Pelodiscus sinensis: one gene and its partners. The protein of the gene in region 3 interacts with the protein of the main gene of each other region in a pairwise test. Links are inferred from orthologs where the notes say so. Each region holds a gene or a part of one and is shown on either strand. Other genes may lie near its edges. The genes, in order: EIF4E, RHOBTB3 and UBXN11.

What was found.
Region 1: the proteins of UBXN11 (region 3) and EIF4E interact in binary tests that used the Homo sapiens proteins (3 or more experiments, as listed by UniProt). The link is inferred for Pelodiscus sinensis from reciprocal best matches to the Homo sapiens genes UBXN11 and EIF4E.
Region 2: the proteins of UBXN11 (region 3) and RHOBTB3 interact in binary tests that used the Homo sapiens proteins (3 or more experiments, as listed by UniProt). The two-hybrid records come from large-scale screens. The link is inferred for Pelodiscus sinensis from reciprocal best matches to the Homo sapiens genes UBXN11 and RHOBTB3.

The regions. Positions count from the first base shown.
Region 1 is NC_134715.1:22,622,046-22,629,675, reverse strand, and holds the start of EIF4E (eukaryotic translation initiation factor 4E), read left to right. Parts: upstream 1-4,590; 5' UTR 4,591-4,605; coding exon 4,606-4,613; intron 4,614-5,072; coding exon 5,073-5,145; intron 5,146-7,630. UniProt on the Homo sapiens protein: Acts in the cytoplasm to initiate and regulate protein synthesis and is required in the nucleus for export of a subset of mRNAs from the nucleus to the cytoplasm which promotes processes such as RNA capping, processing and splicing.
Region 2 is NC_134716.1:71,203,478-71,211,215, reverse strand, and holds the start of RHOBTB3 (rho-related BTB domain-containing protein 3), read left to right. Parts: upstream 1-4,672; 5' UTR 4,673-4,678; coding exon of another isoform or gene 4,679-4,807; intron 4,808-4,814; exon of another isoform or gene 4,815-4,953; intron 4,954-5,159; exon of another isoform or gene 5,160-5,181; intron 5,182-6,329; exon of another isoform or gene 6,330-6,459; coding exon of another isoform or gene 6,460-6,470; intron 6,471-7,738. Other genes in the region: RFESD (Rieske domain-containing protein), read left to right, coding at 4,679-4,807. UniProt on the Homo sapiens protein: Rab9-regulated ATPase required for endosome to Golgi transport. Involved in transport vesicle docking at the Golgi complex, possibly by participating in release M6PRBP1/TIP47 from vesicles to permit their efficient docking and fusion at the Golgi.
Region 3 is NC_134735.1:1,833,163-1,840,666, reverse strand, and holds the start of UBXN11 (UBX domain-containing protein 11), read left to right. Parts: upstream 1-4,480; 5' UTR 4,481-4,512; coding exon of another isoform or gene 4,513-4,547; intron 4,548-5,868; 5' UTR 5,869-5,894; coding exon 5,895-5,959; intron 5,960-6,335; exon of another isoform or gene 6,336-6,547; intron 6,548-6,670; coding exon 6,671-6,708; intron 6,709-7,504. UniProt on the Homo sapiens protein: May be involved in the reorganization of actin cytoskeleton mediated by RND1, RND2 and RND3. Promotes RHOA activation mediated by GNA12 and GNA13.

The DNA of each region.
Region 1 (7,630 bases), on a different chromosome or scaffold from region 3:
GTGTGTGTGAGGGGGGATTTTCAGGCCAATATGTGTAATGCAGGGGGCACCTGGTTAAGAACATACATGACTGTCACGTCACTGTCTGGTCATTCATGAAACTAGTTTTTAAAGCTTCTCTGATTTTCGGTGCTCCTTGATATGCTCTCCTTATTGCCTTGGTATCTGGCTGCTCAGAATTAGCGGCTAGATGATCTGCCTCAACCCCATATCTGCCAGAAACTTTCCCCCCTTACTTTCACAGATATTATGAAGCACACAATAAAAGGCCATAACAATGGGAATGTTGCTTTCACTAAGCGCTAACCTAGTCAATAAACTGTGAAAGTGTCCTTTAAACTGCCCAAAGCACATTCCACCACGATTCGGCACTTGCTCAGCCTTTAGTTGAACTGTTCTTTACTGATGTCCAGGCTGCCTATGTACAATTTCATGAGCCATAGGAGCAAGGGGTGGCTGGGTCTCCAAGGATAGCTATTGGCATTTCAATGTCTTTAATGGTAATTTTCCAGTGTGGGAAGAAAGTTTCAACTTGCAGCTTTCTGAAGAGACCAAAATTCCTAAAGATGCGCATGTCATGCACTTTTTCCTATCATCCCATGTTGATATAAGTGAAATGGCCCTTGTGATCCACCAGTGTTTTCAACACCATTGAGAAGTATGTCTAGTGGTTTATGTACTCTTTGGCAAGGTGATCTGGTGCCAAGATAGAGATGTGAGTTCCATCTATCGTCCCACCACAGTTACAGAACCCCACTGCAGCAAAGCTGTCCACAATGTCCTGCACATTTCCCAGGGTCACTATTCATCCTAGCATGAAGGTATTGATTGCACTGACTACTTACATCACAGTAGCCTCTATGGTAGATTTACCCACTCTGAATTGATTCCCAGATGACCACTAGCAGTCTGGCATTGCAAGCTTCCAGAAGGCTATTGCCACTCACTTCCCTGAGTGGGTATCTTTCTGATATTGCTGAGTTTCAGTGTGGGGGAAAGCAATTGGCAAAGTTCAATGAAAGTGGCCTTATGCATGCGAAAGTTCTGCAGCCACAAGTCATCATCCCTGTGACAGGGTGGCTGCCATGCCCCGCACAATTGCGGTGCCATCCCCGGCATGCTGGGAAGAAGTGGTGGCCCTTCGCTGGCTCTGGCCCTGTGCAGCTTGCTCCGCTGTGCTCAAAGGAGGTACTAGGGGTGCGGACGGGCAGGGAGCGCCCGAGCTTGCATAGCCCCGACGAGAGCAGGGAAGCCGCGGGGCTGGCGGGCCAGCGCTGCCAGAGGCAGCGCATGCTTGAGGTTCAGGGCAGCTCCAGCACGGCCGGAGGTAGCGGACAGCCAGGGAGGGAGAGCGTTGGGAGGAGCGGACGCAGGCCCTGCCCCTGGTGCACCGGACGTCGCAGCAGCAGGACGCCTAAAAGGAGCGCCGCCGCCAGAAGCTAGGGGAGGAGAGCCGAAGTACAGAGGGCCAAGGAGGGCCGAGGTGCACGGAGGCATGGAGCCCAGAGGAAAGGAGAGTGACAGAGGGAGATGCCCAATAGGAGGACTTGCGGAGGCTGCAAGAGCCACCCCTCTGGGGGCCACTGGACAAAACTGCCACAGTGGCTCAGTGGCGGAGGTAGGAAGTGACCCAGGGCAGGGTATTAATCCCGAGAGGTTGGTGTGTTTCGGGGCGGATTCTTCCCCTCACCAACTGGAGCTGGGGCGCAGTCCCCAGTCCTTAGGACCCTGGGTCGGGGCTTGGAGTGGGGGCGGGCCTGAGTCCCACTACCTCACCTCACCGGCCCGCCGACGCACCAGAGGAGAGGACTGTAGGAGAGGACCACCCCTGCCAGATACGGGGCAGGGTGGGTGATGGGGAGCACGCAGCGTGGGGTTTTTGTTGCATGGGACTGACAGCCAGGGCCGGACGGAGGCATGGGCGAGCTGGGCAGCTGCCCAGGGTGCCAACCCACGGGGGGGTGCCTGATGGTAGCCGTAAGGGGCACACGGCGTTCCACGAGGCGTACAGCTAGTTCGGAATAGGAAGCCTAATACGAACTAGCTAGTCCGTGCTGTGTGTAGCTGCACGGCACGGGGTCCGAACTAGCCGGCATTTAAAAATGGCGCCGGCCGGCATCATGCAAATGAAGCCCGGGAAATTCAAATCCCGGGCTTCATTTGCAACTCCGAATGACTACATTACCCCCCTAGTTCGAACTAGGGGGGTAGTGTAGACATACCCTATGTGGTTCCGCCAATCTGTGCTTGTCAAATAGGGCCAGAATTGGCGTTCTACTGTGTCAACAGGATTGACTGCCACCAGCATATGCTCCACTCAATGGTTTCATGAATATCTGTTTTCGTGGCCTCCCCACATTCTTCCTCACTCTGGTGGCTCCTGGTTAGGCACTGGACAAACCACAGTATAATGTGCAGGGAGTTTGCAATGCTTGCCACAGCAGTCTGAGGCTGACCAGGGTCCAGTCTTGCCATACTATGGCATCTGCATGGATAACCAGGGAAATAAGGGTGCAAAAAATTGTTTGCCATTGCTTTCAAGCAGGGGTGTGTGTGTGATAAGTGCTTTATAAGAGGCTGATGACATGTACGCAGAGCCACCTGCTGCAATGTTTTTGTCCCATCAGGTACTGGGATGCAAAGAAGCAGCAGGAATTGTGCAATGGATACCCTCGGAGCATCTTTGTCAAAGTCAAAGGTACAGGCAGTCCCCAGGTTACATGGATCCGACTTACATCAGATCCCTACTTACAAACGGGGTGAGGCAACCCCGCACTAGCTGCTTCCCCCCAGCAGACCAGGGAGACGCGGAGCGGCTTTTCTCAGCAGACACCTCAGCTTGAGAATAAATGACTGAGGGAAGTGAGGTGGGAGAGAATAAAACTGAGCTCTGGAGAAATGTTTGGCTAGAGTTTCCCCTACAATATGTACCAGTTCCGACTTACATACAAATTCAACTTAAGAACAAACCTACAGTCTCTATCGTGTACGTAACCCGGGGATTGCCTGTAGCTACTTTATTGAGTGATAGAGATGCAGCCGTGTTAGTCTGGTCTAGCTGAAACAAAAGACAGGATTATGCAGCACTTTAAAGACTAACAAGATGGTTTATTAGGTGATGAGCTTTCGTGGGCCAGACCCACTTCCTCAGATCAATTTGTGGAAGAAAATTGGCATGACCATATACACCATATATATATATATACCTTAACAAAGATGCTAATTATCTCACCCATTACAAAGATAGCTTCCCCAATTATCACCCCTAATATCATTACCTTACAGACACTAACCTTCCCCCTCACCCTGCCTCTGTTCTAAAATCTGATTCGTCGATTTTATATGTGTTCACTTTTTTTGATTGTATCACTTTGGTATATATGGTCATGCCAATTTTCTTCCACAAATTTATCTAAGGGAGTGGATCTGGCCCACGAAAGCTCATCACCTAATAAACCATCTTGTTAGTCTTTAAAGTGTTGCATAGTCCTGTCTTTTGTTTTACCTTAGTGAGGACACACTACATCCAACTCATGTGTCCAGTGAAGACATGCACCTTCAACTTTGTAAACAGGGATATTGAACCAACATAATCAACTCTGCACCACTGCTTTCTCAGCTCCAGGTATAGATGATTTGGCCAAGACAAAGGGACATGACCAATGGAAAGGGGGCATAGCCAAGAACTTGCGCCCTTTAGCAAACTTGAACTACAAGAGTGGCCTTTGTGGGGCCATTGGCAGTTGGAATAGTTTATAGCAGCCCTGTGGTGCAGAATCAGCCCCAGGATCAGGAAGCTACAAATGGATGCTGTGCGCTCCCTTCTCCTCATGTGTCTAGAATCTCAGCTGAATTTTTTTACAAGGGTGAGAGGGTATCATATGACCCTTTAAGGAATGGCTACATTTATTGTGAGTAGATTGGTGTGCTTTTTGTGTGTTGTACCAACAGTATTATGATTGGGCTCCAGCTCTCTGTTATTCCCAGCCCAGGACTTCAAGACTTTCACTTTAATTTATTAAACTGTTGATCAAATAAAATGAGTCATGCAAAATGTGATTATGGATCACATTTAGAGCATGGCATTGCTTAGGTGATCATGATTTTGATTTAAAAAATTGTTTTGTTTTCCACTGTCAATGACTGTTCATAGAATCACAGAAATTATAGGAGAAAAACATCTATTAAACCAATTAGTCCATCAACTAGCAGTTTTTGGATTGTTCCAAAAGTGCAATCAAGTGTTTTGCTTTACTATAACTTTAGATAGGGTTTTCAGCACTTCCTTTAATAGATTATTTCAATACCCAATAGACTTCATTGTTAAGAATTTTTTAAAATCTCATATTTGGCCTAAATTTTCCTTTGCTGGATTTTATCTCATTACTAATTATTATACTGTTGGGACCACACTAAAGAACTCCATTATTCATTGGTGTTTATAGGTGTTTCCTGTGATATAAAAGTACTCTGCCAGATCCATTAGAACTTGGTAAGATGAAAACATGACATCTCCAAGGCAACCCAGGTGCTATCTGTACATTCTAAAGAACTTTTGTTTGGAATCATAATGCTTCGAAAGTTATACTGAAGGTGAAAACTACAATGGACAGGTATGTATTTACTCACTTGCTAGTTAGGAGTTTACAACTAAAAGTCTGAGGGTATGTCTAGACTGCGGGGGTTTTCCAGGATACTGGAGAAACTCTGGAAAAACTCCACCGCATCCAGGGAATGCATTTGCTCTTCTGCTTTTTTCTGTGGAAGAGCAAACGTGCTCTTTCAGAAGCCCTGACTTCCTCGTTGTACGAGGAAGAAGGGATCTTCTGAAAGAGGGGGATTTTCCAAAATTTGGCCCAGTGTAAACCAAAAATCAGAAAAAGGTGTAGTGTAGATCTAGCCGGCGTGACAGGTTAATGGGTGTGTTGGGAATCCAGAGCTAAATGTAAAACTGAAAGGTATTTGGTTACCCTCTCTCACTGAAATAAAGGCAGAAAAAAAGGAAGTAAGAACATCCTGAACAACTTTATTCAGGGATAGAGTCATAACCACATTTCTTTTCTTCCTCGCAGGCTAAAAGAGTTACCAGTGGAATGCTGTAGAGATTGTCTCCTGGGCACAGTGAATATCAGAAAGAGACTGTTGGTAAGACTTCTTGTAACAATAGGAACACATAAAGACCAATGATAATTTTATATTTATGAAAGCTGCTTTTGGAGTAAAGTAGTTTTCCTGTAAATAAAAATATTTCCCCGTGTTTTATTGTTAGTCCAACTTCAGTTTACAATTCTCTGTCTTTCTTGTACACTCCTAGACTGTTGCTTGTATAAACTTGAAAAACAACATATAGTCTGGTAGCACTTGAAAGAGTAACAAAACATGTCAATGTTTTGTTAGTCTTCAAAGTGCTACCAGACAATTTGTTGTTTTTTAAGTTTATCTTGTACAGACTAACTCAGCTTCCCCCTGTTGCTTTTATGTTAGATTTAAGGAGAAACATGTTTCTAATTTTCCCCTCACCTTGGACCTGCTGAATATAATTCTTGACTATGTAAGGTTTGAGCATCAAGTTAACTAAAACATTTTCAAAACAATAAGAAATCAACTTAAACAAAATTGAAATAGACAAACAGTCCAAACTACATGTCTATGCCCAGAAGACAGCACTGATTTACATAAATCAGGGATTATATTTTATATAAACCAGCCTGAGAGAGTGGACACTTAATGTCACTTCCCTCAAAACATGCTACTGTCCCCATTATGTATGGATCAGAGAGACAAATCTTAGGCCTGAGAACTGATAAAAATAATATAGGAGTTATATACTGGTAGCATAATTCATCTGGATCTGTATGAACCTTCTATAACATTTGTCACAACTTCCTTTGTCATCACGCCAGCATATACAGATTTACTTGTTTTTAAATGTTTCCATAAAAAGTCAGTGCTTCTACGCTTTAACTCCTATATTGCCTCCAATTTGTCAACATCTTACTGGTACTCAGAATTGTGTATAGTATTCTAGACACAGAATAGCATATGAGTGTAGTAGTACAAAGAAGGATGTTTCTGGTGATCTGAGGCCATTGTATATTTAATCTAAACGTCATGCACTTTTTAGGCTGCCATGTAACTTGTTGCCATATTTCTTCATAAATAATTGACTAATATCTGAAAACTTCCTGGTGAATAAAAAATCTTCATAATAAAATTCTTATTTGTCCAATACTCGACTGAAAAATCTTGTTCTTACTGAAGTGATTTGTTCATGGCCAGTCTCAAGTGCATGATAGATGTCAAAAGTGGGCTTGTTTTTTCTGGTTTCCATGAATAATAAGCATTTTATTTATTTCATGTAACTTGCTGATTAAGAGTTTTCTTCTCAAAACAATCAAGTGACATTTATAAAGCTGCAGTTTTTAGTTTTTATTTCCTTATTTTGAGCAAGGCAGTTGCATTTGATTTTCTTGCTGTTAATAATAAATTAAGAGTATCAATTCTTAAGCTGGTGCTGAGGAAGTGGGAAGCTTTCTTTGTCATCAAGAAGAGATTGGAAGTACCTGTTTTTTAGGAAAAAGGAAAAATAATTACAACTGTATACGTTGGTACAATGACAGAGGAAGTTATGACCCAAATACTCTGCAACTGTAGAGATGCTGTCTGCCAGCTCTGCTCCCGGGAGGTTTTGTAACCTGCAGCATGTAACTGTGTAACCGCTAGGATTTTAGCAGTAACGGGGTTATCGTTTTAAATGAATTTTTACATCCCTATAGAGAGACATGGTGGGTAAGGTAATATCTTTTATTGAACCAACTTCTGTTTATAAAGAGAGATAGGTGTAGGAATGGTCCCTTACTATCTCTGCTAACTACTTATGCTAAACAATCTGTTGCACTTACATTTTGCTGTGATGCTGGTAGTACCCTCGCCAGACCTGAATAAGAGCTCTGTCTGGCTCAAAAGCTTGTCTCTTGTATGAGCAGGAGTTTCTGCAGTAAGAGATATTGCCTCGCCACTTTGTCTTTCTAAGCATATGTCTACACTTAAAATGCTACAGCAGCAGCACTGTAGAGCTTGAGTGCAGACACAACCCTCCCAAGTGGAAAGGTTGCCACCAGCATAGATAATCCACTTCCCAGAGATTTTTCACACCTCAGAGCGAAACAAGTAAGCCAACTTAATTTTCTAACACAGAGGGGTAGCCGAGTTAGTCTGTAACAGGAAAAACTTAAAAAACAGTTTAGTTGCACTTAAAAGACTAACAAAACATGTAGATGGTATCATGAGCTTTCATGGGCACAGTCTGAAGAAGTGGGTTGTGCCCAGGAAAGCTCATGATACCATCTACATGTTCTGTTAGTCTTTAAAGTGCTACTAGACTATTTGTTGTTAATTTTTTTTTAATACCGACCAGCCTAATCTGGCATTAGGGTTGCCAGGTGTTCAGTTTTGACCCAGACAGTCCAGTATTTGAGCTTTCTGTTCCGGAAACAAATTGAGAAAATCTACATGAGAAACTAGAACTGTCCGGTATTTTCTAAATAAGATGTAATGTAGATTGTGATTATCTTCCCATTGAGGAGGGCGTCTCAGTCTCCTCTGGACTGAGGGTGCCCTGGTGCAGGGG
Region 2 (7,738 bases), on a different chromosome or scaffold from region 3:
ATTTATGAAAGTGAATGAATCTTTAAATAATTATCCAACATATGATGACTACTGCTAATGTAACTCACACACCTATTGGGTGTGTTTCACTGTCCAGTTAGTGGCCCTTAGACCACTTACAGAGCAAGAAAAATGAGTTTGCTGTACAGCCTTAGCTGAGAGCCACCTGGCTTTATAACTCAAGTACTAGAGGCTCATGCATTAAGCTCCTGATTAAGGTCCCTGGTTCAGTTTTGCCTGTTTGGGTTACACTAACATTCAGAGTCCATACCAACAGGTAGGTACATTTGAAGTGTTATAGTAGCATACACAGAAACATGCCATGAGATGAGGGAGCTTCTGGCTTGCTCAGCTCCAGCCCCTGACAACCAAGCCTGGGCAGGCTGCTCAGGTAGAAATAGCTCCATCTCACTCCCAACCTAGTTGCCCACTGAACTCTCGATTGATGTCAATGAAATGATCCAAGCGATCCACTAGCAATTGCAATATCATAGAAAACTAGCCCTTTGTGTCGATGTACTCCATCTCAAGGTGGTCTGAGGCCAAAATGGGAATTTTTGTGCCATCTATTGTCTCACCATGATTAGGGAATCCTATTGCTGCAAAGCTATCCATTATTTCATGTACAGTGTCCAAAGTTACAGTCTTTTGTCGCAGGAGACAATGACCCAGCACACTTGCATCACTGGAAACCCCATAGTGGATTTCCCCACTCGGATCTGACTCACAACTGATTAGCAGCAGTCTGGTGTCGCCAGGTTCCACACAGCGATCAGCACTCATGTCTCTACTGTTACTGCAGCTCTCATTTTGATGTTCCTGTGGTGGAGGGTTTGAGAAAACTCTGCGAACAGTTGCTGGAAGATGGCTTTGTGCATCCAGAATTTCTGCAGCTGTTGCTTGTCATCCTGTATCTTCATAACAATGTGATCCCAAAACTCGGGTGCTTGTTTTTCAAGCCCAGGACTTTTGACAGTGGCCTGTACCAGATGCTTCAGAGGGAATGGACAGAGCAGGGCAATTTTGAGTGATTCATTAAATTGTCCAGTCCCAGCTAGGGATGTGAACGACTAGTCAACTACCCGATAAGCAAATGCTTATTGGATAGTCGACACACTAGTCGACTAGTTGCTCCCCCTGCCGCTGCCTCTATCAGAAAGATGCAGCAGGGTAGGGAGGGAGAGGAAGAAGTGCTTCAAAGTGGCAGCACCACATGGAGCCCTGGACCAGACCCTGGGCTCCACATGGCACTGCTGCTTTGAAATGCCCTGTGGAGCCGAGGGCCAGCTGGTGAGTCCCCCGTTGGCCTCACGCTTCATGTGGTGCTGCTGCTTTGAAACACTGCAGGGAACACTGGGCCAGTGGGAGACAGTTGGGGGAGGAGTGCATGTCCCCCAACTGGGGGACAGACATAAAAACTCTTTGAAATATATAGTAAATACCTGTCCTTTTCTCCACCCCTAACGCCTGCTGGCCCAATGGGGTTATAGCTGGACACTACTTATCACAGGTGGCCCCTGGGTGGCGGGGCAGGGAGGCTAAGGCAGTCTCACCTCTGCCCTGGCTCTGTACCACTCTCCAAAGTAGCCAGCAAACTCCATCCTTCTCAAGCCCTGTTGTCCCCCCCACACTCCATTCTGTGGAAATAGAACACAGGGTAGGAGAGGGGGCATCCTGACATCAGCGTCCCGCCTTTATCTCCCCTGCTCTGCACAGCAAGCAGGAGGGACAACTCCAAGGCAAAGGGCAAGAGTTGCACAGGAACGGGGGAAGGGGCAGCTGAAGTGCTGTGCTTGATAGCCTCTTGGCCAAACCAGTCAGGGTCACCTGTCAAAGGCTCCAAGATCTACTACGTGACCACTGGACTACATATAAATTGCAGAGCTACAGCAGAGGTAGGTGTCATGTTACTGGATTTTAAGGAAGCAGCCAGATCACTGCAGCACCCATGGGGCAGGGGTTGTTGGCTCCAAAAGTGGTACAAAGGGGGCCATGTGAAGTGTCAAATAGAAGCATACTTTCTTCTGATTCCATATATGTTATTCATGTACTTGTATAATGTCTGTGTGTGGGTAAGGTGCAGAGTATAAATTGACCTGGGATCTGTGGCTGGTTTCTTGGAACCGGACAGAACTTGTTAAGGGAAGGAGAGATTGGTTTCTAAATCCCTCACTTATGTATGAGGCCTGGGGCCATCTGGGGCACGGATATTGCTGGGGTGTCGTAGGGGTTTTGCTTGTGAGGCTGCTGGCTGGCCAGGCAGGCAGCTGAAGTGCTCTGTGGGATTGGTTTGTGGCCTATTTGGAAAGGTCTCCAGTCTGGGGGGCTATAGAGAGCCCCGAATTTGAGCAATTTGCCCTGAGCAAATGCCCTCAGCTGTGCCCAGACCCAGCCCGGTCTGTCACAGTAGGTTCGGAACCCGGCTTGTGCCAGGTCCTGGACTGCTGTGTCTCTGCTTTTTTAAAATCTGGCTCTTACCACCTGGCTCTTACCACATTTAAAAAGGAGAAGCGCAGTGGTCTGGGACCTGGCGTAAACCATATCTGCTGAGTCCTGGCTCGCACCGGGTCCCCCACTGCGCCTCTGCCTTTTAAATGTAGTAAGAACCTAGGGCAGCAGTCTGGGAGCCAGGGGGCTCTTACTACATTTAAAAAGCAGAGCCGCAGTGAATTCCATACCACTGTGCTTCTGCCTCCCCTGCCCCGCTTCTCCCCACACCACCTTCTAAGCTGGCTCCTCCCCAGGACCAGCTCCTGCTCCCCCTCACCTCTTTGCTGCCTCTGAAACAGTGACTCGACTAGTTGCTTACATTCCTATTCTGGCCTCTTGCTACCCTCCGTGTCATTCTACAATATAATTGTCCTCTGATCAGACCCCCCCCCCCTTTCCATTTTATGAGAAACAATCAAATTCCAGGCACTTTGGCTGTGCCAATGAGTTGGCACAACCAAAACCTTACCTTGTTTTTGAGTTGTGATAAAAGAAAGCTGCCTACCAAAACTGGTGATCCTAGCTCTTACCATTTAAGAGCTCTTGAACGAACAAACCCATAGACATAGAGTCAAAATTTCCAAAATATATAGTAGATTATCTTTTCTAAATTTCCAGCAGATCCAGTTTTTTAAATCTTTCTTTGTGGGGATATTATATACCCATAATCATTTTCATTGTGCTTTTCTTCATCTTTTCTATATCTTTTCTGAGATGAGGTGACCAGAATTGCATGCAGTATTCAAGGTGTGGGCATACATTGGAGATATATGTTGACATTATACTACTTTATTTTTTATTATCTATTCCTTTTTAATGGTTCCTACGTTCTGTTTACTTTTTTGACTGACACTGCACACACTGGATTTTTTTCAGAGAAATATCCCCATGACTCCAAAAATATCTTTCTTGAATGGTAACAGCTAATTTAGATGCTATTGAATGGATAGTTGGGATTGTTTTCCAATGTGCATTACTTTGCATTTATCAATATTGCATTTTATTTGCCATTTTCTTTCTCCATCACCCAGTTTGTGAGATCCTTTTATAACTCGTCACAGTTAGCCTCGTCACAGTTAGCCTATCTGGAATAATTTTGTAGCACGCACAAATTTTCTACCTCACCATTTCCCCTTTTCCAAATCATTACTGAATATTTTGAATGGCACTGGTCCCAGTACAGATCCATAGGAATGCCACTTTTTACTTTTATTGTGAAAACTGACCATTTATTCCTACTCTTGGTTTTCTTTGTACTAGACAAAGGATTTTACCTAATATAGAAGTGTAAAGTCTGAGATTATATTTATATTTATGTTTATATTCTGTGTAACCTGGATAGTTATGCTTGCCCTCTATGTCAGTGTTTCTTAAACTATGTTCCGCAGAACACTGGTGTTCCGTGAGCAACTCACAGGTATGCTGTGACCTCTTGTTTTTGTTACTTCTTTTTGTCTTTTTTTGTCTGACAAAAATTTTTTTGTTTTGAAGAAAATTTTCATAGATGTTACACAAAAATATTGTTTTGTGTTCCATGATCTCAAAGAATTTAAGAAACAGTGCTCTATGTCATCTCTGAATTAGGTTTTTTTTTTCTCTTAACCTTTTAATTTTCTTCCAAAGCAGGTCTCTTGTGTTCAAATTGTGTGTATGGTGGGTGCTGAATTAAATTATATCTAGGGTTCTGGTTTAATGCTTCCAAGTATGACAAACCAGAGGGGAATGATCCAAGTGTCTGGTGGTAAAGAACTCATCTGAATTTTCCAAGACATTGCCTATTATGAATAAAGTGGATCAACAAAATATTATCTCCACTTGCAGAAGAGGCCATTACTAAAATATTACTGTAGTAAAATGTGTATCCTTTCCTTTCTTCCAAGGCTCCCATTGCTCCCAATCCCCCTTCTCCACTTCATTGCCCACGCACACCTGTCCCATTCTGGTTACACTATTGCACCAGCTCCCTGTTCAGCCAAGGGAGGATGGAGAGAGCAGGGCAAGTCACCAGTTGGCTCAGAGTTCCTGGCCGCCTTTACTGCAGCAGCAGCCCCTTAACGGCTGGAGCACCGAAAGCAGGCGCTTGCCAGCTGGCCCTGAGAGCAGGCTACAGGTTCCCGCTCTTTCCGCCAGAGGCCCCACCCCTTCCGGGGCGTGGAGCTACCCCCTCCCCACTTGCTCCACCGGCCGGATGAGATCCCCACGGCTGCCGGTCTCCAAAGCGCTCAGCACCTGCCCACGCGCACTGCAGTGCCGGCCTCCCCGCCAGGGGGTAATGCAGACCGGCTCCATCCTCCGGCGTCCCTCGCGTGACGCGCAGGTACGAGCTCGTCACGTGTCACATGACGCTCAGTGCTGCGCTGGCCTAGAGTTCTCTTGTCACGTGCTTCTCCGCGGCACCTTTGGCTGAAGCGCTGCTCGCCGGCCGTTGGCAGGGTCGGCCGCTGTTGCCGGACGCATCCAGGGGTACGTGACAGTTGTTTTCTACTGACGGAGAACGCTTGGCGCGAGCTCTTCTAAACGGGTTATGAGGGTCACCTTGCGCGGTGCTTGCTGGGTGTTGTAGTTTTCTTTGCGGGGTGGCCTCTGAGGCTGCTGCGGCGGCGCAGTGGGGTTTCTGTCTGTGACGTATCGGAAGAGGTATGACGGCGCGGGGGGAGGAACCCAGTGCGCGCTCCTGTGTCGTTACGATCAGTATGTTTGAAAATGTTACATTTAGAATCAGTACTAGAAATCAGGAGTGTACAATTCCCTGCCTAACAAAGCTAGCTGTGAAAGCGGAATGAGCCCTGCTCAAGTTAATGTAGTCCTGAGACTCTAATAATTAATATAAACTCTTAATTAGAAATAAAAACATGGGCTGAGCTGTAACTGGGGTGGTTGAACTGCCTGAAAGAGCTGTAAAGTTATTTGATTTATGCATAATCAGCTCGTAAAAAGTCTGGAAAGTGCCATGGGGGTATTTCTACTAGTTGCAGGGGCTGCAGGAATATTTGATGGAGAATGATTTGCTTGCCATGCATGAATGGCCATAGGAATGTCATAAGAACGTATACACATCATATATATAGTAGCCCAGTGTCTGTGAGTCTGTAACGCTGAAATGCTGACTGTTCCCTCTGGGTGGCCCGTGCTGCATGGGGAGTGCGGGGCCCAAACGGCCGCTTGCTTCCCCGTGGCGGCCTGGCTGAGTGGTGCAGATGTCAGCTGAGCGCCATGGCGGGAAAGGGAGTGAGGTGGTGACGTGCGGCATGACAGCGGCTCCAGGCCCTGCCCCCTGGCTGTGAATGTCACCGTCTTCCCCCCTTCGCCTCCCGCCGTGGCGCTCGGCTGACTTCTGTGCCACTCAGCCAGGCCGCCGCATGGGAGCAAGTGGTGCAAGAGGCTGTTTGGGCTCCACGCTCCCCATACAGCACGGGGAGTGTGGAGCCCAAAAGGCCATTTGGGCTCCACGGTCCCCCGAGTGAGAGGCAGGAGGGGGAGGAGAAGAGAGAGAGAGGGAGGCAGTAGGAGGAGAAGAAAGAGGGAGAGAGAGACGCAGTGAGAGATCAGAGGCTCAGGAAAGACAACCAACGTGGAGGAGAGACCTGAAAATCCCGTTTTATGACGGGCTAATTGGCTAGTTTTAAAAGAATATGACTCCAAGATACATCTGGAGAAGGCAGATATGAGAATTATTTATAAGGAGTAAAGAAGAAAACAACTTTCAGAAATCTCTCATGTTCTGTTATCAGCCCAGCCTCAGCCTTCCTCTTATCGGTTCTGCCAACATTCATTTCAGCCTTTTTTGTGCTGCTAAGACCAATTCCTCTGTGTTTCAGAAAACCTTTTTCAATAAAGAAGAACTTAAAGAATTGATACATATGAGAACAAAACGGGTGTGGGATGTGATGGAGCTATAGAACTGGTGCTGCACTTGTTAATTTGAAACTTCGTCCCTTCATCCATTCTTCATCTCTGTCATGTGCTAGCATGGATCTAAGGTATTGATGTGACTTACGTTAAGGAGCTAAATTGCTTTGACCCTCTTTAGAGTTTGATTCTGTCCCATTTTTGGTTACTCCTTCTCCCCCCCCTCAATTCGTCTCAGTACATATGAAGACATTTTTTTAATTTTGTTTTTCTTTTGTAGGTAAACCTTAACACTTGTATTATTTTAAATCAGTGTATGTCCCCAACTCTGACATTGTCTAAAAAGTAGTTTTAGCTCATTTGCTTTTCTTTATAGGGAGGGCTGGTTTTTGTTTGCTTTTGGAGATACTCCTATATCAGTAGTTCTTAAACTTTTGGCCTGTGGCCCAACCCACTCAGTGCAAACCTTTCTGAGGATCACCAGCCAACCAACCATGTTGACAAAATAGGTGCAGGAGGGAGTGGTGGTGTGGGTTTTGGGTGGGAAGTAGGGTGCAGGCAGGCCCGCTGATGTGGGGGAGGAGCAAAGAGGGCAATTGCCCTGGGGCCGGGCCACTCAAAAGGCACTGGAACTTCTTTGAACTGCTGCAGAAGCACAGGATGTGCCACTCCACACAGCTTTGAGGGCTGGGGGAGGAAGAAACACCACAGTCTGGGTGGCGCTAAGGTCTGACTGCCCTCAGCTCCACCTCTTTGGGGGGTGTGGATCTGGTTCCTTTCACCTTGCCCCAGGGCCCAACGTGGCTGTTGGCCCCACTGGGTGCAGGGCTAACAGTGGAAAATTGGGTGCAGAAGTGGGTAGGGGATCTGGTCGGACGTCCCATCATCTCTCGTATTGGCACGCTCACTACTGGTCTATCCAGCTATGTAGACTCTCTCCTCAAACCCTACGCAACCAACACCCCCAGCTATCTCCGAGACACTACTGACTTCCTAAGGAAACTACAAAACATCGATAACCTCCCCAATAACATCATCCTTGCCACCATGGATGTAGAAGCTCTGTACACCAATATCCCACATGAATACGGATTACAAGCAATTAGAAACACTATCCCAGAGGACACCACTGCCAACCTGATAGCAGACCTATGTAACTTTGTTCTCACCCACAATTATTTCCAGTTTGAGAACAACTTATACCTCCAGATCAGCGGCACAGCCATGGGTACACGCATGGCCCCGCAGCATGCTAATATCTTTATGGCTGACCTAGAACAACGTTTCCTCAACTCCCGTCCCCTTTTGCCCCTTCTCTACCTACGGTACATCGATGACATCTTTATGATCTGGACGCATGGCCAAGAGACACTGGAGACATTCCACAGAGATTTCAACA
Region 3 (7,504 bases):
AGATGCTACTTGTGCAAGGAAGCGTCGTCTTCTGCCTGCCCTAGCACACAAGCAGAAGCTCTAAGTGTGCCTGTAGCAGAGCATCTGCCAATCAAACCTTGCAAGCTCCCTGCCACGCCTAGACACTGCTAGCACTTGGGCGGCTGTTCAGCATGGCTTTGCTGACACTATGCTCATCATACCACTGATCACCCCCTCCCCCCCCATCCAGCCCCTACCCCAACACAACAGCAAACCAGACAGCTGCACTGGTAAAACCACAGCCTCTCTGTATGGGCAATTCTCCAACCCCGACCGAAACGAGCCAGGGGTTTTGATGCCAGGGGGCTGAGGCGGACAGATTGTAAACTGCACATCTGGACTGGCGGTTAATGGAGTTGGTTCCTGGGGAGGTGGTGATGCTGTGTATGGGGGGGAGGATTGTGAGGGGTTGTGGCATCACAACGGGCTTGGGTTGACTCTCTTGAAGCTGCCGGAAGGGGTTGCAGGAGAGTTTGGCAGCTGGGGTGGGAGTTCTGCAAGGACCCCCGATCACAGGCCAGCTTGTCAGTCTTCTCGTCTCCCTCCATTCCAGGAAGTGCTTGGTCCCCAAAGCACAGGGCCACCTGGGGCTCACACCCTGGAGAGGACGGGGTGGATCTGTACTTTGCCTTGGTTCCCCCGCTCCCGTGCTCAAGTTTTTCTAGAAACCTCCAAACAATCGTAATCGGAGTTTTCACCGAAAGCCATAAAGCAGCCTGGGCTCACTGGGATGTGTGCAAACTTGAGCCAAACTTTCTGCTCTCTTGGCCTGCATGCTGGGTTTGGTAACAAGCCCTCTTCTTCTGCAACAGAAAACTAGAAATAGATTCAACTGCAAAATTCCGATCTAGCTGGCAAGTCCACAACGCTCAGAGGTTCTTTGATCAGGGCCGAGGCCCCTCTCTCTTCAAAACTTTTACAGCTCTACTTTGAAGCCAGCTGATGGTGACAAGCATTTCCTAACTCCCGAATGTGGACAGTTGTACTGAGAAACGGATGCTAGCAAGATGCTAGATTAGATTAGATATCGCACAGTAACATTTCCTTGTAACCTTCAGCGGCAACTACGCAAATCCAGTGAGCTTCCCTGGAGTTTTCACCCGTTTTATACTCCCTTGACTTCAGTGAAGTTACTCCCGATTCACACCGGTGTCAGTAGAATTAGGCCAGCCTCTTCTGTGCCTTTTTAAGGCAGCTTGAAAAAAGCAATTGGCCAAAATATTCCAGACGCAGGGATAAAATAGGCCCATTTATGTGGGATTTCTTTGTGCGTATGAAACATATCAGTGTCTGGAAAGAGAAAGGAGTAAAAGGCAACATCTGAAAGAAACAGAAATGGGAGACTTTGCTGTAGCTATTTTAGATCTCCTTTTTTGGCTAATTTCAGTAAGCAGAAGTGTAGAGATGAAAGTCTGTTGGGGACAGTTCTCAGCCCATGAGAGGCGCGAGTGTGGTAATCTAAAGCTCTTAGCACAAAATCAGCAGGTCAAGTAGGTAAGATTCCTAGCTATTGTCAATCGGCATGGCACCATCGACAGAGCTTGGCCCAATAAAAGATGGGCGAGAAGGGTTCCCCAGAAACAGCATGATGACGACCCAACAGCCACCTTGGATATTTAAAAATCTTTTGTTGATAGAGTTTTTGTAAATGGTACAGCGGATCCGAGAAAACAGGAAGAAAGAAGTGGTCAGAAAAACAAAGTGAGAGAAGGGAAGGAACCATGAAATGACAACTAGAAAGTCTGTTTGCAGCTGAGCGTGGGAGTGCAAAAGTGTTGACAACACCCGGCATAATCAGTTCACAAAGCTGAACACAGCCGTGGGATTTTAAGTTCATCTGTTCTCCACAGGCACGAGTCTGGCGACGCTGCTTACTGGAATGCAGAGCGCCTCATGGAGCAATGTGACTCCAGGTGCTGAGGCTTTAAAATCCCAAAACCATGAGCCTCCCAAGTACACTGCAAGGGCGAGCCAGCCTGAACCCTGCGGTTCGAGTACAGGCCTAGCCCAGAGGGGAGCTGGGCTCTGCCGTGTGCCATTTCCTGGGGCAAGTCGCTTCCCCTCTCAGTGCCCGACTATAGAGGGGGGACTGTTGTTTCCCTGCCACTGTGTGTCGGGATGGGGACACACTGGCCCCATTAACAAGGGGGTTATGCCTCATCCATCCTCTTATATCCCATCGGGGGATCCCTCAGGGACTGCTCCTTTAATGGGAGGCGGGGTTAAGGCCTCCTAGCACTTGATCTGTCCCCAGAGGCCAGGGATTCCCTCAGGCTTCATCCCTTTAGGCAGATATAATAATATGTAGTGGGGGGAGGGGCAGTGGATGGGTAGGTGCAATGGGCTCTTTGGGGAAGGCAGCTAGTGGGACACATGCAGTGGGGGGGCAGTAATATGGGGGGGCAGTTGGAGGGAGAAGTGATCCCAGTGGAGGTGAATGTGGAGATCGGGGGGGCAGTGGTGGGAAGAAGGGGTGCCAGAGCTGGGGGCTGCACGCATGGGGTCCTTGCTTCAGGGACTGTCACCGTCTGTTCAGTAACTCACACCCCCTTTGCATTTTATACAGAGCCAGTAGCAAGGCAGGTGGATGGTTTTCCGCTGATGTGCAGCACTGGTTTTGCATGGGAAGTTGCGCCTAGTTGTAACCAGGGCAACCGCTGCAGACAAGATGGTGGAGCATAGAGCCCAAGAGACCCTTCCAAACGTGGGGATATGTCTGGGGCTGAGAGAGAGGAGGAATCGCTCTTTTGTTGGTCTGGAAGTATGTGCATTAGGGAAATGCACAACAGAGGGACTCCTCTCCTGGGGAACAAGGCAACACAAGCTGGAGCAGTGGAAGAACCTTCTCTCGTCTTGCATGCCTCCCCTCTGCGCAGGCTTGGCAGAATTTGATTTGTATTTTTTGTATAATTTGGACAAATATCAAATTTATTTGAAAGTATCTTTCCATATTAGCCTCATTAGCACCGGCACTACAATTGACAGGTACTCCCCCCTTTTTCTGTTATACATTTTGAGAGTCCTCCCTTTTCTCTCCACTCGGCAACCCCCGAGACTTTGACTCTATTTCAGTGTTCATGGTTGTGGAAAATGGTTGGGGGCTGTTCAGACCAAGAATTTAATTACTGTTGACATTGAGTAGAACAGTCATTAAAACTCACATTGTCCACATCATGCCAGACTATTCAAAGTCAACCTTCCGAAGGCAAAGAATAAGTTCTCGGGCAGTAGGGGGACAGAGTTATCCTTCTTGCCAGGCATGTCTGTGGAGCAGTTACTGATGTCTGTTACTGATGATGTTTACCAATGATGCTTACCGATGGCAGTTACCAATGGAGGTTACCGATGGCGGTTACTGATGATAGTTACCATTGTCGATTACCAATGGCAGTTACCAATGACGGTTACCAATGTCGGTTACCAATGGCAGTTACCAATGTCGGTTACCAATGGCAGTTACTGGTGGCAGTTACCAATGTCGGTTACCGATGACAATTACCGATGTCGGTTACTGATGTCGGTTACCAATGACAGTTACCGATGGCGGTTACCGATGACGGTTACCGATGTTGGTTACCGATGACAGTTACTGATGGCAGTTACCGATGTCGGTTACCGATGACAGTTACCGATGGTGGTTACCGATGACAGTTACCGATGACGGTTACCGATGACAGTTACCGATGGCGGTTACCGATGGCGGTTACCGATGGCGGTTACTGATGGCAGTTACCGATGTCTGTTACCAATGACAGTTACCGATGTCGGTTACCGATGGCAGTTACCAATGTTGGTTACTGATGACAGTTACGATGGCAGTTACCGATGTCGGTTACCGATGGCGGTTACCGATGGCAGTTACTGATGGCAGTTACCGATGTCTGTTACCGATGACAGTTACCGATGTCGGTTACCGATGGCGGTTACCGATGGCGGTTACCGATGACAGTTACCGATGGCAGTTACCGATGTCGGTTACCGATGGCGGTTACCGATGACGGTTACCGATGGCGGTTACCGATGGCGGTTACCGATGGCGGTTACCGATGTCGGTTACCGATGGCAGTTACCGATGTCGGTTACCGATGTCGGTTACCGATGGCAGTTACCGATGATTTGGGGCTCTGGGACGGCAGGAAGACCCCTGTGCAGAGCAGGCAGTGGCGCCTCGGGGCTATCGGCCGTGCCTGCCCTGCGAGTGCTGGGGGGGAGGGCTGAGCTGGGGGGGTTACCCCTCCCTCCCCCTTGGGGGTCCCCACAGCTACTGCCCGTTAGGGGGAGCCCCGAGCCCCGCCTTGTCCCACCAAGGGCCCGGGAAGGTCGGGGGGGCGGATGGGGAAAGGTCAGAGAGAGAGAGAGAGAGAGAGAGAGAGAAAACCGAGCGCGTTGCATGCTGGGACTGGTAGTCTTTTCAGAAGGGGTCGAGCCACGTGACCTTAAACGAGCCAATCAGCTCGCCCGGCCGTCACCGGGGCAACCGCGGCAAACAAAATGGCGTCGCCTGGGTCGAGCCCGCCGGGGGGAGGGTGAGTCCGTTACTAGCCCGAGGCGGGCTGCGGCGCGTCCCTCCCGCCCGTGGGGGCAGCGAGCCACAGACCCCCCCGGCCGGGCCCGTCGGCTTGCGCCGTGAGGCCTTGTGACGTCACTGCGGGGTGCCGGGGGGTCACCGCTGTGCCTGGGGAGTACCTGGGGGGGGTCACTGCCTTGCATGGGGGTGCCTGGGGGGGTCACCACTGTGCTGGGGAGTACCTGGGGGGGTCACTGCCTTGCATGGGGAGTACCTGGGGGGGTCACCACTGTGCTGGGGAGTACCTGGGGGGGGTCACTGCCTTGCATGGGGGTACCTGGGGGGGGGGTCACTGCCTTGCATGGGGGGTACCTGAGGGGGTCACTGCCTTGCATGGGGGTACCTGGGGGGTCACTGCCTTGCATGGGGGTACCTGGGGGGGTCACTGCCTTGCATGGGGGTGCCTGGGGGGTCACTGCCTTGCATGGGGGTACCTGGGGGGGTCACTGCCTTGCATGGGGGGTACCTGAGGGGGTCACTGCCTTGCATGGGGGGCATTGTGGGGGTCACTGCTGTGCCTGGGGTGCTTTTGGCTGTCGCTGTGTTTCCAGGCTGGGGCGGGGATGTCAGCGCAGGGCGGCGGGAGGCCTCCTGTCGCACTGTGGGCGTTTGCGATGTCATTGCGCTTGCGTGCCGGAGTGGGGTGATGTCGTAGGGTGATGGCAGAAGGTCGTGAGTTTGTCCCGCCAGAGCAGCCCGAGGGAAGCGGCAGACTTTGTCTGAGGGCCGTGGGACCCGTCCTCGTTTTCTGTATTTTCAGTGACAGACTAACCCCCTGAGACTTTCTGGCATGAAATGGTGCAGACTGTGGTCACCCTCCTTTTTCCCCTGGAGGCTGCCGCCTGTGTGGAGACCACAGGGCCCAGAATGAAATACCTGAGCGTTGTTTCTATGGGCCTGTCTACTCAGCAGAGACAAACCTGCTGCTAGCCCATGCCATCTGACTTGGGCTCCTGGGGCTCGGGCTGTGGGGCTGTTTCATGGCTGAGAAGATTTCTGGGCTTGGGCTGCAGGACCCTGCATGGTGGGAGGATCCCAGAGCTTTGGCTCCAGCCTCAGCTCCGAAGTCTACCCAGCCAAGCCTCATGAGCTCTGTATGACATGCTAAACTCCTTGGTCTGCTCAACCACCCTGCTCTGAAGGAAACCGCTAAGTGTGTGGTGATAAAATACACCCTGGAGCCGTCTGCTTTTCAACGTGCCCCTCAGTCTTCTCTCCCAAGGCACTTCACTCTGTGTCATCCCGCCGCCTGGCATTGTAACACTGTCTTTGTTCCCTAGGATCTAGAGCTGTCTAAGGTATAACCATGAGTTCTCCTCTTTCCTCCCTGGGAAAGCACCGCAGAGTCCCACTGCAGCTACAGAGTCCAGGGTAAATGAGACATGAGGGCTCTTTCTGCTTTAAGATTTGTGGCCACCCTTGCTTAGTTGTGCAGTTTTGATCCCAGCTGCTTTTGTCCTCACGCTATACGAGGGTTCTTCTTTGGTCTTGATCTTTCAATATTCTGGGTCCCATTGAAGTAAGTACAAGGTAACGACAGTCAGTACCACTCTGGAGTCACTCCGCACCTTGCAGAATTGAGCCCTAAAATCCAGAATTGTGCCATCCTGATTCCAGCTGTGAGCCCTGATTCCACGGTGAGGCCCTAAGTGATCCAGAGCAGTCTCTGCAGTTACGATAGCAAGAATTACCCGGGGCTCTTGGTTCTATGGCCTTGAGGCACAAGCTGGTCCCCAGTTGAGGCCAGAAAGACTATTGCACAATTCTGCGTAGCAACAGTTGGCCGAGTTTGTTGTTTGTCTTCTTTTCACTTTTTCCTTATATGAAGTAGCTTCCAGTGATCTTAATTACTGTTAAGCAACTCCAAATATGTTGTTTGTGTGTGAGCTCACTCATCACAGACAGCAAAGTGGGGGCTTGTTTGATTTATCTGTGTGGTGAACTGGGGAGAAAGTAGAGGTGGATGTATTTCAAGATTATTTTTTATGTAATTTACAAGTCTCTGATACCTAAAACCAATTATGCAGCAGCTAATTAATCGGTCTGCTGTTTGTTTTCTGTATTCCCTATTCTTACATGCAGGAAAAGGACTCTCTCGTTTAAACTGAGTGCCCACAATGGTAAGTAAGGCCTCTCTCTTTCCTTTATGTGTTTTGCATTTAAGTGTTATGTGCTTAGTTCTTTTCTTGTCCTTGATTTCTCTCTCCTTCCCGCATGTGTCAGAAATCAGCTTAGTAAGAGCTAGTTTTCCCAATCCCAGGATTTGTTAGAACATGCAGACTCTCTCAAATGCTTTACAATTCCAAAGCTAGCTGCTTCCCTCATTCTTCCCACACTTGGCACACCAATCCCTCTCATTAACGTTAACAAAATTACAAGTAACATAAATAAGATTTTTAAAATCAATATGATATGAGAGAGAACTAGAACAGTTTTGTCTTTGAAAAACATTAAGCTTTCTAGTTCTCTCTTTTTGCACCGCTGTCTTGTGGCTTTGCTACATGGACTCTGGATGGGTTTGCAAGGCCACAAACACTAATCCTGGCTGCCGTCTCTTTTTTTCTGAAACAAATTCAGTTCCACTGCTCTCCCCTCTCACCCCCAGCAAAAGCTGCTGGAACCTAGCGCCATGGTCTCTGTCTCCCAGTACAGTTTTGTGTTTGATCTTTGTCTGTTTAGAGTGGACCCTCCTCACAGCGTGGACTGTATTATCTTTTGAGTACTGTACTCTCTCTCTATGCTTCGTAATCATCGCTTTGGAAGTCTTTGGGTGGACGAATGGGACCATGTCACACTTCGTACCCCACCCTCTCCTTCCCTAAAGATACATCCCTGCCAATGTTCTCTCTAATCTTTTCCACCCCTGTGCGGGATACTTTTTATGTGAACCAAGGCCTAGGAGTGGGCACTCTGCTA